Caenorhabditis elegans: one gene and its partner. The protein of the gene in region 1 interacts with the protein of each later gene in a pairwise test. Each region holds a gene or a part of one and is shown on either strand. Other genes may lie near its edges. The genes, in order: lin-13 and hpl-2.

Evidence for each region.
Region 2: the proteins of lin-13 (region 1) and hpl-2 interact in a two-hybrid assay, tested with the Caenorhabditis elegans proteins (one study listed by BioGRID).

The regions. Positions count from the first base shown.
Region 1 is NC_003281.10:7,706,243-7,711,355, forward strand, and holds the start of lin-13 (Zinc finger protein lin-13), read right to left. Parts: upstream 3,250-5,113; 5' UTR 3,231-3,249; coding exon 3,150-3,230; intron 3,107-3,149; coding exon 2,925-3,106; intron 2,244-2,924; coding exon 1,770-2,243; intron 1,726-1,769; coding exon 1,509-1,725; intron 1,462-1,508; coding exon 1,117-1,461; intron 1,064-1,116; coding exon 807-1,063; intron 770-806; exon of another isoform or gene 620-769; intron 552-619; coding exon 350-551; intron 303-349; coding exon 1-302. UniProt on the Caenorhabditis elegans protein: Involved in repression of vulval fate, possibly by a tumor suppressor protein Rb-mediated mechanism. May act in a common pathway with retinoblastoma-like protein homolog lin-35 and hpl-2 to influence the ER stress response in the intestine.
Region 2 is NC_003281.10:10,751,478-10,757,439, reverse strand, and holds hpl-2 (Chromobox protein homolog hpl-2), read left to right. Parts: upstream 1-1,918; 5' UTR 1,919-1,929; coding exon 1,930-1,971; intron 1,972-2,245; coding exon 2,246-2,419; intron 2,420-2,686; coding exon 2,687-2,925; intron 2,926-3,624; coding exon of another isoform or gene 3,625-3,697; exon of another isoform or gene 3,698-3,849; intron 3,850-3,883; coding exon 3,884-4,037; intron 4,038-4,408; coding exon 4,409-4,480; intron 4,481-4,885; coding exon 4,886-5,116; 3' UTR 5,117-5,186; downstream 5,187-5,962. Other genes in the region: rnf-113 (putative E3 ubiquitin-protein ligase rnf113), read left to right, coding at 4-736, 1,459-1,742; enu-3.6 (ENhancer of Uncoordination), read right to left, coding at 5,736-5,870, 5,919-5,962. UniProt on the Caenorhabditis elegans protein: Seems to be involved in transcriptional silencing in heterochromatin-like complexes. Probably does not act as global transcriptional repressor, instead targeting a subset of genes. Involved in RNA processing mediated by Tar DNA-binding protein homolog tdp-1.

The DNA of each region.
Region 1 (5,113 bases):
GGCCGCTCGAAAAACTTATTTCTATTAATATGTTCATATCCCAAATCTCCACGAATCTTGATATTTCTTTTCTTCTTTTGTTTGCTTGATGTGAAATCATCACTATCGGAATCAGAATCAGAAGAAGACGAAGATTGATTATCTTGTTCTAGAAGACTTTTCTGAAAATCTTCTTCACCAGAGGACTCTCCCGGTTCGTATGAAAATTCCTTCTCGTTACTATCAGTAATATTACGATTTTCCTTCTTAGTTTTTGCATGCTTCCACCGAAGTAGTTTTTTGCGGATAGTGTACTCATCTGGCTGAAATTTGAATATTTTAGAACTTGAAATGCTTCACTGCACTCTACCTCTACAAATTCACTTTTTTTGTTTTCTGATGCTTCAAGAGCTTGTACTTCTCCGCTAGTGAGTCCTCCGATCGCAGGAATACTCGATCCAAAACCGACATATGGCAAACGTCCAGAACTCGGTGGTGGTTGGTAAGTAGCCGACATTTGTAAATAGTTGGCGAACTGTGCGGTTTGAGTTGTATGTGATTGCGCGTGATGTCTAAAATTTGAAGAAATAAAGAAAAAAGTTTCGAAGCAATTAAAAATAAATATCTTTAAATTGTATTTGTTGTCTGAGTGTCTAAGACCAAAAATTTCATTAAAAAAACATTTTTGGAAAGTAACACTCTGCTTTTATAATTCGCTTCGCGTTTATATTCCACAGTTCTATAATCATCTTATCAATAATTTTCATAAGATTAACTTGAATAGTGGTTGAAACTTCATGAACTATTTTTTTCTAATGAAAACTCACTTCAACATAAACTCGGTTCCAAATGTTTTTCCGCATTTTATACAGGTATGATTAGCCTCGTGTTTTTCTTTGAAATGCTCTTCGATTTCAACAACAGAATGAAATTCTTCAATGTTACATTCAGAACAACTCAGCGGAAGTCCAATGTTTAGTTCAGACATCACTTGAAATTGAATTCGTATTCCTTTCCCTTCATCTTTCAACGGTTTTGGGAAGTAAGCAACGACCGGAACCAACGGTTGACAAGAATGGTTCATCTGTAAAAATAATTGTAATCAGAGAAAAAAATGTATAATCACTCATGACTCACCAATGCAGTTGCAAAATACGTCCATCCTTTCTTTCCTTCGCCTGATGGTTTTACCGACAGCCACAATCCGCACTGAGAACAGCAGAGGTACATGTACGCGGCTTCAAGATGTAAAGTTTGCTGTTTGAAAGTTAATTGACGCAGGTACTCCGCAAACTCTTTGCAATCGTGTTTAGTTAATTCATATCGAGACGGATAAACTCTGTAACAGATATCACATCCGAAAAGGTGAACCACGTCATGATGTCCTAGGTAGTGTTCAATAGTTTCACACATATTTAAGAACAATGGCTGATTTTCACAGCAATTTGGGCGAACAGTTGTCCCGCGCGCAATCGGACTTGGCTGGAAAACTTTTGATTTAGATAAATATCAACAACCGTAAATTTTACCGGATGACGCGGGTCCGTGACCGAGATTTCGGAAAGCGGCATCGGCATATTTTGAACAAAAAGTCTTGAATCGAACACATCCTTCCTTGCAGCATACTCCCAATCACGACGAAACGTTGGAGGCATTGCATTGTATACATGACGAATACTTTTCAATAGGATTTCGTCATGATCTTCATTATTTGCCCCAACGATACAAAGTTTATCGACAGTTTGCCTGAATTTTAAATTGAGAATCTGAACGTTGCTTTAGAAACTAACATTATCGAAAAAATCTGGTTATCACTGAGCCATGCACAAAACCGTCGAAATCCTCCAGAAGCCCTCCGTACAGCAGGTTGTGAATCTAGTCGGAATCCAATTACTCGTTCACCTTCTGCTCGCGCATCTTCTGCTAATGGGACAATCGTTTTAAACACATCTTCTTGTTTTGGAGGTCTTGAATATTGACTAGCATAGGTTGGTAAACCCGGAACTTGAAATTGACGGGATGCGCCTTTTGCATTAGGTTTCTTCTTTCGGCCAGAATTACCCTCATTTTCTTCCATATAATTTTCGTCCAGCTCATCTCGTGTTCTTTTCGGCTTTTTCCGGTTCCCTCGGCTTCCAAAATCGGTAACCAGTGACTGAGCTTGAGCTTCGTCACCTCGTTCAATACTCGCGTAGTTTACTGATCTACGGGGTCGGGAAGAGTGTCCAAATGTGGATAACGGAGCTTTCGATTCAAGAGGATCTCTGAAATATTCAATGTAAGTGTAAATATAATTCCTTTTTGATTTATGGTAATGAAAAAATAAAAATTTAACCAGGTATTTAGATTTCGTTCAGTTAAATGAAAACTCGGTGAAACTCAGTCTAAATTGAATTTAAAAAATTACCTGATGCAAGAAAAATGTGAGGCCCCACGAAAAGGGGAGCAGAACGAAAAGGGGATCTGCAAAAAGGGGATCTGCGAAAAGGGGAGATACGAAAAGGGGAGCTGGCACTGTGCCAAACGCACAAAACGCTTTTTTTATTCTCATTCAACGCACGCATTATTTGTGTATTTTACGCTAAACAACGCGCGATGCGTAATAACGGAGTGTGGTTATAACAAAGTCGTGCGTTGAATGAGAATAAAAAAGCGTTTTGTGCGTTTGGCACTGTGCCAGCTCCCCTTTTCGTTGCTCCCCTTTTCGTATCTCCCCTTTTCGTATCTCCCCTTTTCGCAGATCCCCTTTTTGCAGATCCCCTTTTCGTTCTGCTCCCCTTTTCGTGGGGCCTCAAAAATGTGAATTGCGAATGAGGAAAGTGCGCTCTAGTGGCACAAATTTAAATAAATTCGCACAAATTTAGCAATTTTAACAAATGTTTGACTGTGAATGCTTTCTAAGTGCATTTTTGAAAGTTTCCTTGAATAACTTAAACTTAACCTACTTTTTATATTCTTCTGATCCTCTCTTCCTCTTGACAGCAGGCTCTTTCATATCCTTTTGCATAAAATCAGCAAGCCGTTGTGCCTCCTCTTCTTCTCTCTGTTTGGCAGCTGCTATCTCATGACTGAGATCAGATAATCCTGTACGCAGTGGAGCGCTTTGATTGTTATTCGCTTGCTGAAACTTTCTCTGGGGTAATTTAAACAACTTGATTACTGATTCTCACCTCATCTGGAACTTCTGGCTCCTCCGTTTTAACGAGTGGGGCTGTTTGGTTGAGCTGTTGAAACAGCTCAAACTCATCCATAGTTGTTATTTGGAGAGCTGAAATTTTTTTTGAAAAAGGCAACAGAAAAAAATGAGAGAACTGAACGAAAAGAATGACTGGAGATAAGCTTTATCTCAAAAAAAAACTAAAATATCAATCTACATGAACTTCCAGTTTGAATCAAAGATAATTATTCAAGAATCTATCATATGTTCTCGAAATTAATTTACGCCTAACTTGCGTATTTTTAAACGTTTGTTCGGTTTTTTACGATGTATAGTGAATACCAGTAACTTAATTGTTTCAAATTTGCGCGTGAAATATACTGCAATTCGTTGGCTAACCTCACTACTATGATACAAATTTTATACGGGGCGCGGTTATGTGGGCGTGTCCGACCCATTGAACACACTTATAAGAACTCTTTAAAATGTTTAGGTTTTTTATTAGATAAGTTTATTTCATTGGAGGTCTAATGATTTCAAAAAACCGAACTCTGAACTTTCGTGAGCCCTTTCCCACTAATTACTGATCTCGACACGACTACACGCAGAATCAGCGCACATCCTGTCATACTTCAAACTCAATATATTTTAAAACCCCCGAAAAAATAATATTCTCATTTAAAAAAGCAAAATCCGGAAACGTGTTACGGAATCGACAAAAATTTTGAAACTGCGACAAAAATTTTTACCGATCTTTTGGCGCGCATTGGAATTGAGAATTTGAAGGCTGTGTCATATAGAAAGTACCGCAGAGCGTATATGCCACTCTGCGTCTCTCATATTTATTGGTCAGACGGACAAACGATGGTAGGAAGACTATGAGCAGCGGAGAGGGCGCAGAGAAACGAGACCTATTTCTTTGCCCTGCTGCAGTGTCTACTGCAACGGGGCTAGCAAGGACGAATCGATTGGAGAAAAAAGAAAAGTGAATGGGTTTTGCCCAAAGTGTTTGCGTACATTACGGCGCTATATTTGACGACAGTTTGAAATATTTAAAAATTTAGCTGTGCAACTACAGTAATCCACGGAAACAAATTCAAAAAGGACTGGGGTCTAAAACGGTCAGATGATTCAAAATAAAGAAGGGTATCTGTAAATGGATACTGTACACTGAAAATAATAAAATGTTCTGTCGCGTAAGTACAGACCCCAAAAATTAGGCAGAACTTTCGAAAACTGTGCAAACACACCAACCAGTTTTATTATCGTAATTTCGCAACAAATTTCACTCGTCAGTTTAAAGGCACACGTTGTTTTTCTGAGCGGGTCTCGCCACGATCACAGTCATAGTGATCGCTACAGGTGCCACATTTTTCAGATTTATTCATTTGAAAAAAGTACATTGTTAAATTCTATAGATTTGAACAGTATACAGCTCCGAAATTAGAAAACAGCTAAAGTGGAAATTCGAGCAAGCCCACATTTGAACCCAATGAGCAGGAAAAATAAAATAAAAGCAAGAAAACTTAAAGAAGCGCTCAGTCAAGAACTCTGCAACTATAGTGTGGTCTTGCAGCGATAATTTTACTGTACTCTAAACTATATTTATTTTCTCTAGAAAACAAAATAATATTCAAAAACACACTACACATTTTTCCGGTCCCGTGTGTGTTAATGTTCACCACGGCGCACAATTGCGGACACTTCGCGGCGGTCAATACAATTTTAGGCCACTGCAGGGAAGAGAGAAAGTGGGCGGCGGCAGCCCGCGTAAATAACCAGCCACACACGAAACGAGACTGAATAAATGAAAAACCGCGACGCAGCCGCTGTGCACGATTTCTCGTTTGGGATACCTTCAGAAAATTTACAAAAGTGAGGAACGGGTGGCGTGACCGCGACGCGACCGCAACGCAGAATCAATAACTCCAAAATAGGATTAAAGTTTAAAAATCAGTCAATAAATAACTTTGAGAA
Region 2 (5,962 bases), 3.0 Mb from region 1:
CAGACCAAACAACTAGACGCCTCAACACGACGTGCTGATAATTCATCGGATGATTCTGACGACTCTGACGACAATCAGGATATCGCAGTAGCAACTCACTCGTTCGCCGCTTCAGGAGATGCCGGTCCATCTGGACCACGTGATCAAGGTGCCACTGCAACACTCGAAGTGGACACAGACTATTCACACGATGCCCAGGCTCAATTCGAACGAGTCCAACAGCAACTGAAGGAAGGCGTCGAGAAAGACGGAAAAATTCTGTACAAGGGAAGTGCACTGTATGGAGCCAAAGAGGCGAAGGATACGGCCAAGGGAAACGCTGCAAGTGGTTATAATCGAGTTGGGCCCGTTCGGGCGCCACAATTTCTACGACAAACAGTCCGTTGGGATTTTGCACCGGATATTTGCAAGGATTACAAGGAGACTGGATTCTGTACGTTTGGAGATTCGTGTAAATTTGTGCACGACCGATCGGACTATAAACACGGATGGGAGATTGATGAGGAGTACGAAGCAGGAAAATATGGTGCTGAAGACGATGCGAATTACGAGATTCATGAAGGCGACGATACGTTTCCGGAGGATTGTTTTATTTGCGGAAATCCATTTGTTGATCCGATCGTGACAAAATGCAAGCACTACTTTTGCACCGGTTGTGCGTTGAAATCGTTCCAAAAGTCGTCAAAATGCCCAATATGTCAGCAGAATACTGAGAATATTATGAATACCGCAAAAGGTTTGAAATAGAACGATTAATTCGTGATTTTCGCAAGTTTTGGAAGGTTTTTCGGCGCAGTTTGATACTTACATGTTACGGAGGATACTGCACGTGGACAAGCGTGAATCTTTTTTCACATTTTTTGGACAATAATAAGACATTATAACTAGAAAGAGAGGAGGAGCCTAATTTCGCAACTCTGCGGCACGATTTTTCGACAATTTTCCACTGTTTTTTTTTTTGGTTTTTTTTCTGGTTTTTTTTTCCAAAAAACTTCGATTCTTCCTGTTTTATTTTTTTTTACGAGAAAAAAATCAAATTTAATTCGCATAACATTTCGATTATAGTTCATATTTTTACAACCAATTTAGCTTGAAATATCCTCCCAATCTAATGTGAATTAAAAGGAATAAAATCGAAACTTTTATGGAAAAACCCCAAAAAAGAAAAAGGAAAACCGTGCCGCATGGTTGCAAAATTGGTTGCAAAATTACGTTCCGCCTCTTTTTCTGCTTTTTGGAAAACTCATTTCTTTGGTAATTTGGAATGTTGGAAGAGAATCAGCGAAAATAGTTCAAAAAAGTAAATTTCAGCCAATAACTCACAGTTGTCCGGGTGAAGTACAAAATCCTTCGTAAATTTACATGCAACAAACCGCGCTTTTAATCCAAAACTTGCGAAATTCACAAGATAGTAGCTCGAAAAATGTGGCAAAAAAAAATTAATTTTTAAATTTTCAGAGCTCCTAACCTACCTGAAACGGAAGAAGCAACAACAGAAGCAAGAAGCCGAGAAACAGGAAGAAGAAAAAGATAGTGACGATGATGAAAAACCACACGAATGCGACGATCACCATCATCATGATCACGAAGATGAGCCCGAGGAGCCTGAAAACGACTCAAATGTTCCAGAAGCCGAGGAGAAGAGCGATGAGGAACAGGAGATTATGATGGAGGATGTGGAAGGGCTTGAAGGTGGAGAAAATGACTCTGAGAGTGATGATGATGATGCTGAAAAAGATTGATAATTTTTATTTTTTTTTTAAATATTTCTGTACGGTGATTGTCTGTGAGTAAACTAAATATGATTTTTTTTCTTGTTCGAGCCTTTTTTTAATTTCAAGATATTGTTCGAATCTTTATTCCATATTTTTTCTATGTTTTTTCAGATTTCTCCCATTTTAGCTCAAATTTATTTCAGCAATTTCAAAAATGTCGAGCAAATCAACAAAGCGAGCAAAAATCGAAGATCCGGTATGGAACGGCGAAAAAACCAAAAAATCTATTTTTACAACAAAAAAAACTAAAAAATACAATTTTGCAACGAAAAAAAACCAAAAAACAGTCCATTTTGCAAAAAAACAATAAATCAATTTTTGCACTAAAAAAAATATTTTAAAAAAACAATTTTGCAACAAAAAATCTATTTTTGCATAAAAAATCCAATTTTGCTAGAAACAAAGCGACAGTATAAGTTCCCCGACAAAGAAAAAAAAAGTCACATTTTATTCAAAAATCTGATTTCCAGAAGGACAACGTGTTCATGGTGGAAAAAGTGCTGGACAAGCGAACTGGAAAAGCCGGCAGAGACGAATTTCTCATACAGTGGCAAGGATTCCCCGAGTCTGACTCTAGCTGGGAGCCGAGAGAGAATCTCCAGTGCGTCGAGATGTTGGACGAGTTTGAGAGGGAATTTTCAAAGGTTTTGAAGAATTTTTTAAAGTTTATTTTACTTGAAATGGTCCTAAAAAGCGAATTTCATAGTGAAAATTGTTTGAAAAATCTTCGATTTTGCCCACTTTTCCGTGCTGCAACTGTTTAAATTAGATTTTTGTTCGATTATTCTCCTATTTTCACACGGAAAAGCTGGTAAACTTGAAGATTTTAACTAAAATTAGGTTTTTTAGAGTTAAAATTACAAAGTCATAAAATCCGATTTTTCTGCAACAAACTTATTTTATTTTTACAGAGAGAGAAACCAATTCGCAAACGACACAGCCAGAAGCCCGAACCTTCCGAAGATCAAGCGGATCCAGAAGAGGATAAAGATGAAAAGAAGGAAACGAATCAAAATGACAAATTCTCACTGGAAGGCAAGCAGTTAAAATGCATTGTCGGGCTCACCAAGGGACCTGGGGAACTTCATTTTCTGTGCAAATTCAGTGATGACACGGCACGGCTTCTTCCAGCGAAGGAGGTGAACAGTCGGTGAGTTTGGGAATTGCTCCCGGTTGATTAAAAGTGTATTACGGAAACACTCCACCCAAAAACTTTAAAAGTATCCGAAAAAAAATATTACGGGAACACAAAATTCTGAGAATGCGTATTGCGCAACATATTTGACGCGCAAAATATCTCGTAGCGAAAACTACAGTCATTCTTTAAATGACTACTGTAGTGTCGATTTACGGGCTCGAGTTTTGAAATGGATTTTTGTTCAAATAGTGGCATTTTTGCTTAATTTTAATATTCTATCGGTAAATCAAAAAAATATGATTTCGAAAATAGAGCCCGTAAATCGACACAGGCACTACAGAATTTACTGTATTTACTGTACTGTAGTTTTCGCTACGAGATATTTTGCGCGATACGCATTTTCAGAATCTTGTGGTCTCGTGATACGCGTCGATGGGGATTTCACTCTAAAATATGCCGGCTGTACTGCACATAAGTGCCGAAATACCGAAATACCACGAAAAATATGAAAAATTGGACTTTTTCACTAAGAAATTCGAGGAAAAACGGAACAATTGCGTTTAAATTGATAAAAACCATGGCGCGGTAATTCAAACATTCAAAATTTTTCTGACTATTCTGCGTATTTAAAACTGAAATCCCGATCGGCGCTAGAGTTTTTAGCTAGGAAGCGAACCTCAATTTGGCATTTAAAAAAGCTCTAAATTTCAGCTATCCGAGCCAAGTTATCAGATACTACGAATCCAAGCTAACAATCCAAGACCCAAAAGCCGACGAGCTTTAATCACTCCCCACCCCGATACACGTGTTCAATATCATGTTCTCTCATCTCATTCCCATATTCTTTTTGAATTATCTTGTAAAATCTATACCAATTTTTGTGCTAACCCCTGAAATCGAGACTAAATATTATTGAATCAATAAAAATTTCTTGAGACACATTACATTCGACATTCTATTTTCCATACAGATACCGCCCGTTCGTCGACGCTTACGGCGAATTTCTGAAGAAAAAGATGGAGAGACGACACAAACGGATTTCCGAGGGAAAGAAGAAGCGTTCGATTGAGGAAGATGATGCAGATGATGAGTGGCCTGAAATGCCACCGGGACATCGAATTCTTGTGAGAAAATTTGAAGTTTTAGAAGGAGAAAATTTTGAGAAAAATGAAAAAAAAAAGTTTTCTCTGAAATGTTTCCAAAAAACAGTCTCTACACAAGGTCCAAAATTTGAACACCTCTCGAAAAATGTTTTTTTTAATTAAAAAAAATTTTTTTTTGGGAAAACATTTTTTTTGAGAAATTTTTTTAAAACTATACTGTTTTTAAATCTTTGAGAAAAAACTAATTTTTTGCGAATTTTGAATTCTTTTAGGTATTCTTCTTAAGGAAAAAGTAGTTTAGAAACTTTTTTTGGAACAAAATTATGTATTTTTAATTTTAGAATAAAAAACAATTTTTGAAATTTTTTTCAAAATTTTTATTTTAATTCCAGACAACCGAAGAACACGAGCTGCAACGTAGGAAGGAATCGAAAATATCGCAGGACGTTGAGATGACTGAAGCGGTAGGGGTCTTACCACGAACGAAATATTTTTTGAGGCCGCGCCTTTAAGAACTACAGAACACTATGTATCGATTTTTCAAAGAAAAAGGAAAACATAGATTTGTAAAAGAGATTCCTGAAATTCGTTTAAAAATCGATCTCTAGTAAATAAAAAAATGTCAGAAATTGTAAATTTCGGGATTTTTTCGCCAAAAAAATAGCCTTCCTCATGTGGTGTCAGAAAGTCTCATTGCAGTTTGATCTACAAAAAATGCGGGAATTGTTTCCCAGAAAAAATGTGACGTCAGAACGCTCTTAACCATGCAAAATCAGATAAGATGTCTGCGTCTCTTCTCCCGCATTTTTCGTAGATCAAAGCGAAAAGGGACTGTATGACTCCACGTGCTTCCTTAAACCATTCTTCAGTTTCAGCAAACCGCGGCCGATATGCTCAATGATATGCACATGGCGGCCAATGGAGATCTGCTTTCCAGCTTCCCACAAGATTTCCTTGAAGACTCTGGCGATGGAGAAGTTCACGAGGCGGCCATCCTCTCCGTTTTCGATGACAATTCGAATAGCCCGCCACCGTGTCCGATCGTTGTCGACACTGTACCAGACGATGATGACAGTCTCTTGTTCCCAAGAAACTCATAAATTATTTGATCTCCGCTGTTTCTTTTTTTTTTCGAAAATCCGATTTATATAAAGTTTGAACATTATCTTTATATAATGGATAGTACAACAAAAATCTCTTTAGAAATATATATAAAAAATATGTTAGAAACACTGAGAAGCTCATGGTGCATCGACAAATTTTCTGCATTTGCAGAAAATCCCACAAAAATGAAGAACATCGAGAACAAAACTCATGGTGCATCGACTAACAAATTTTTCGGCCAAAAAAATCTGATAAAATATGATGGCAAACAGACTTCCTAGAAACACCTGAATTTCGCCCGTAAAAAATGAGTGCGCCTTTAAGAGCTACAGTAACCCACTAAATCATTAAACTGAAAGTTCCTTGATGTCGAAAGAGAAACAAAATTTGACAAAAAAAAATTTATTGTCAGAGAAAAGTAATAGAAGTGAAATTGTGTGGGGAAATAAATACGGACGGGGAGTTTGAAAAAAGAATGGGACTATACGAGGTCATAAATAATACAATTGTGGGGAACGATGAGCATAGAAAAGGGGAAATGGGGCTCCATAAAAAAAATGAAGGACCTAAAAACGGGGGAAAATCACGAGAGGCGGTCGGGGGCTCAGAAGAACTTCAATCGTGTGGCTTGTCCACAGTGACGAACGCTTCCAGCGCTGCTTGTTTCGATGTCGACTCCTTCTTCTTCTTCTTAATCAAGGACGGTGGGAGCGACGTATTTTCCGGGGTGCCTGGCATTGGCGATTGCTTCTGAAAATTTGAAATTTTAGATAAAAACATCATGAGATTTAAGCTAACCGGAGTCTGGAGCTTCTCCTTGGTGGCCTTTTCGGTGACTGGAA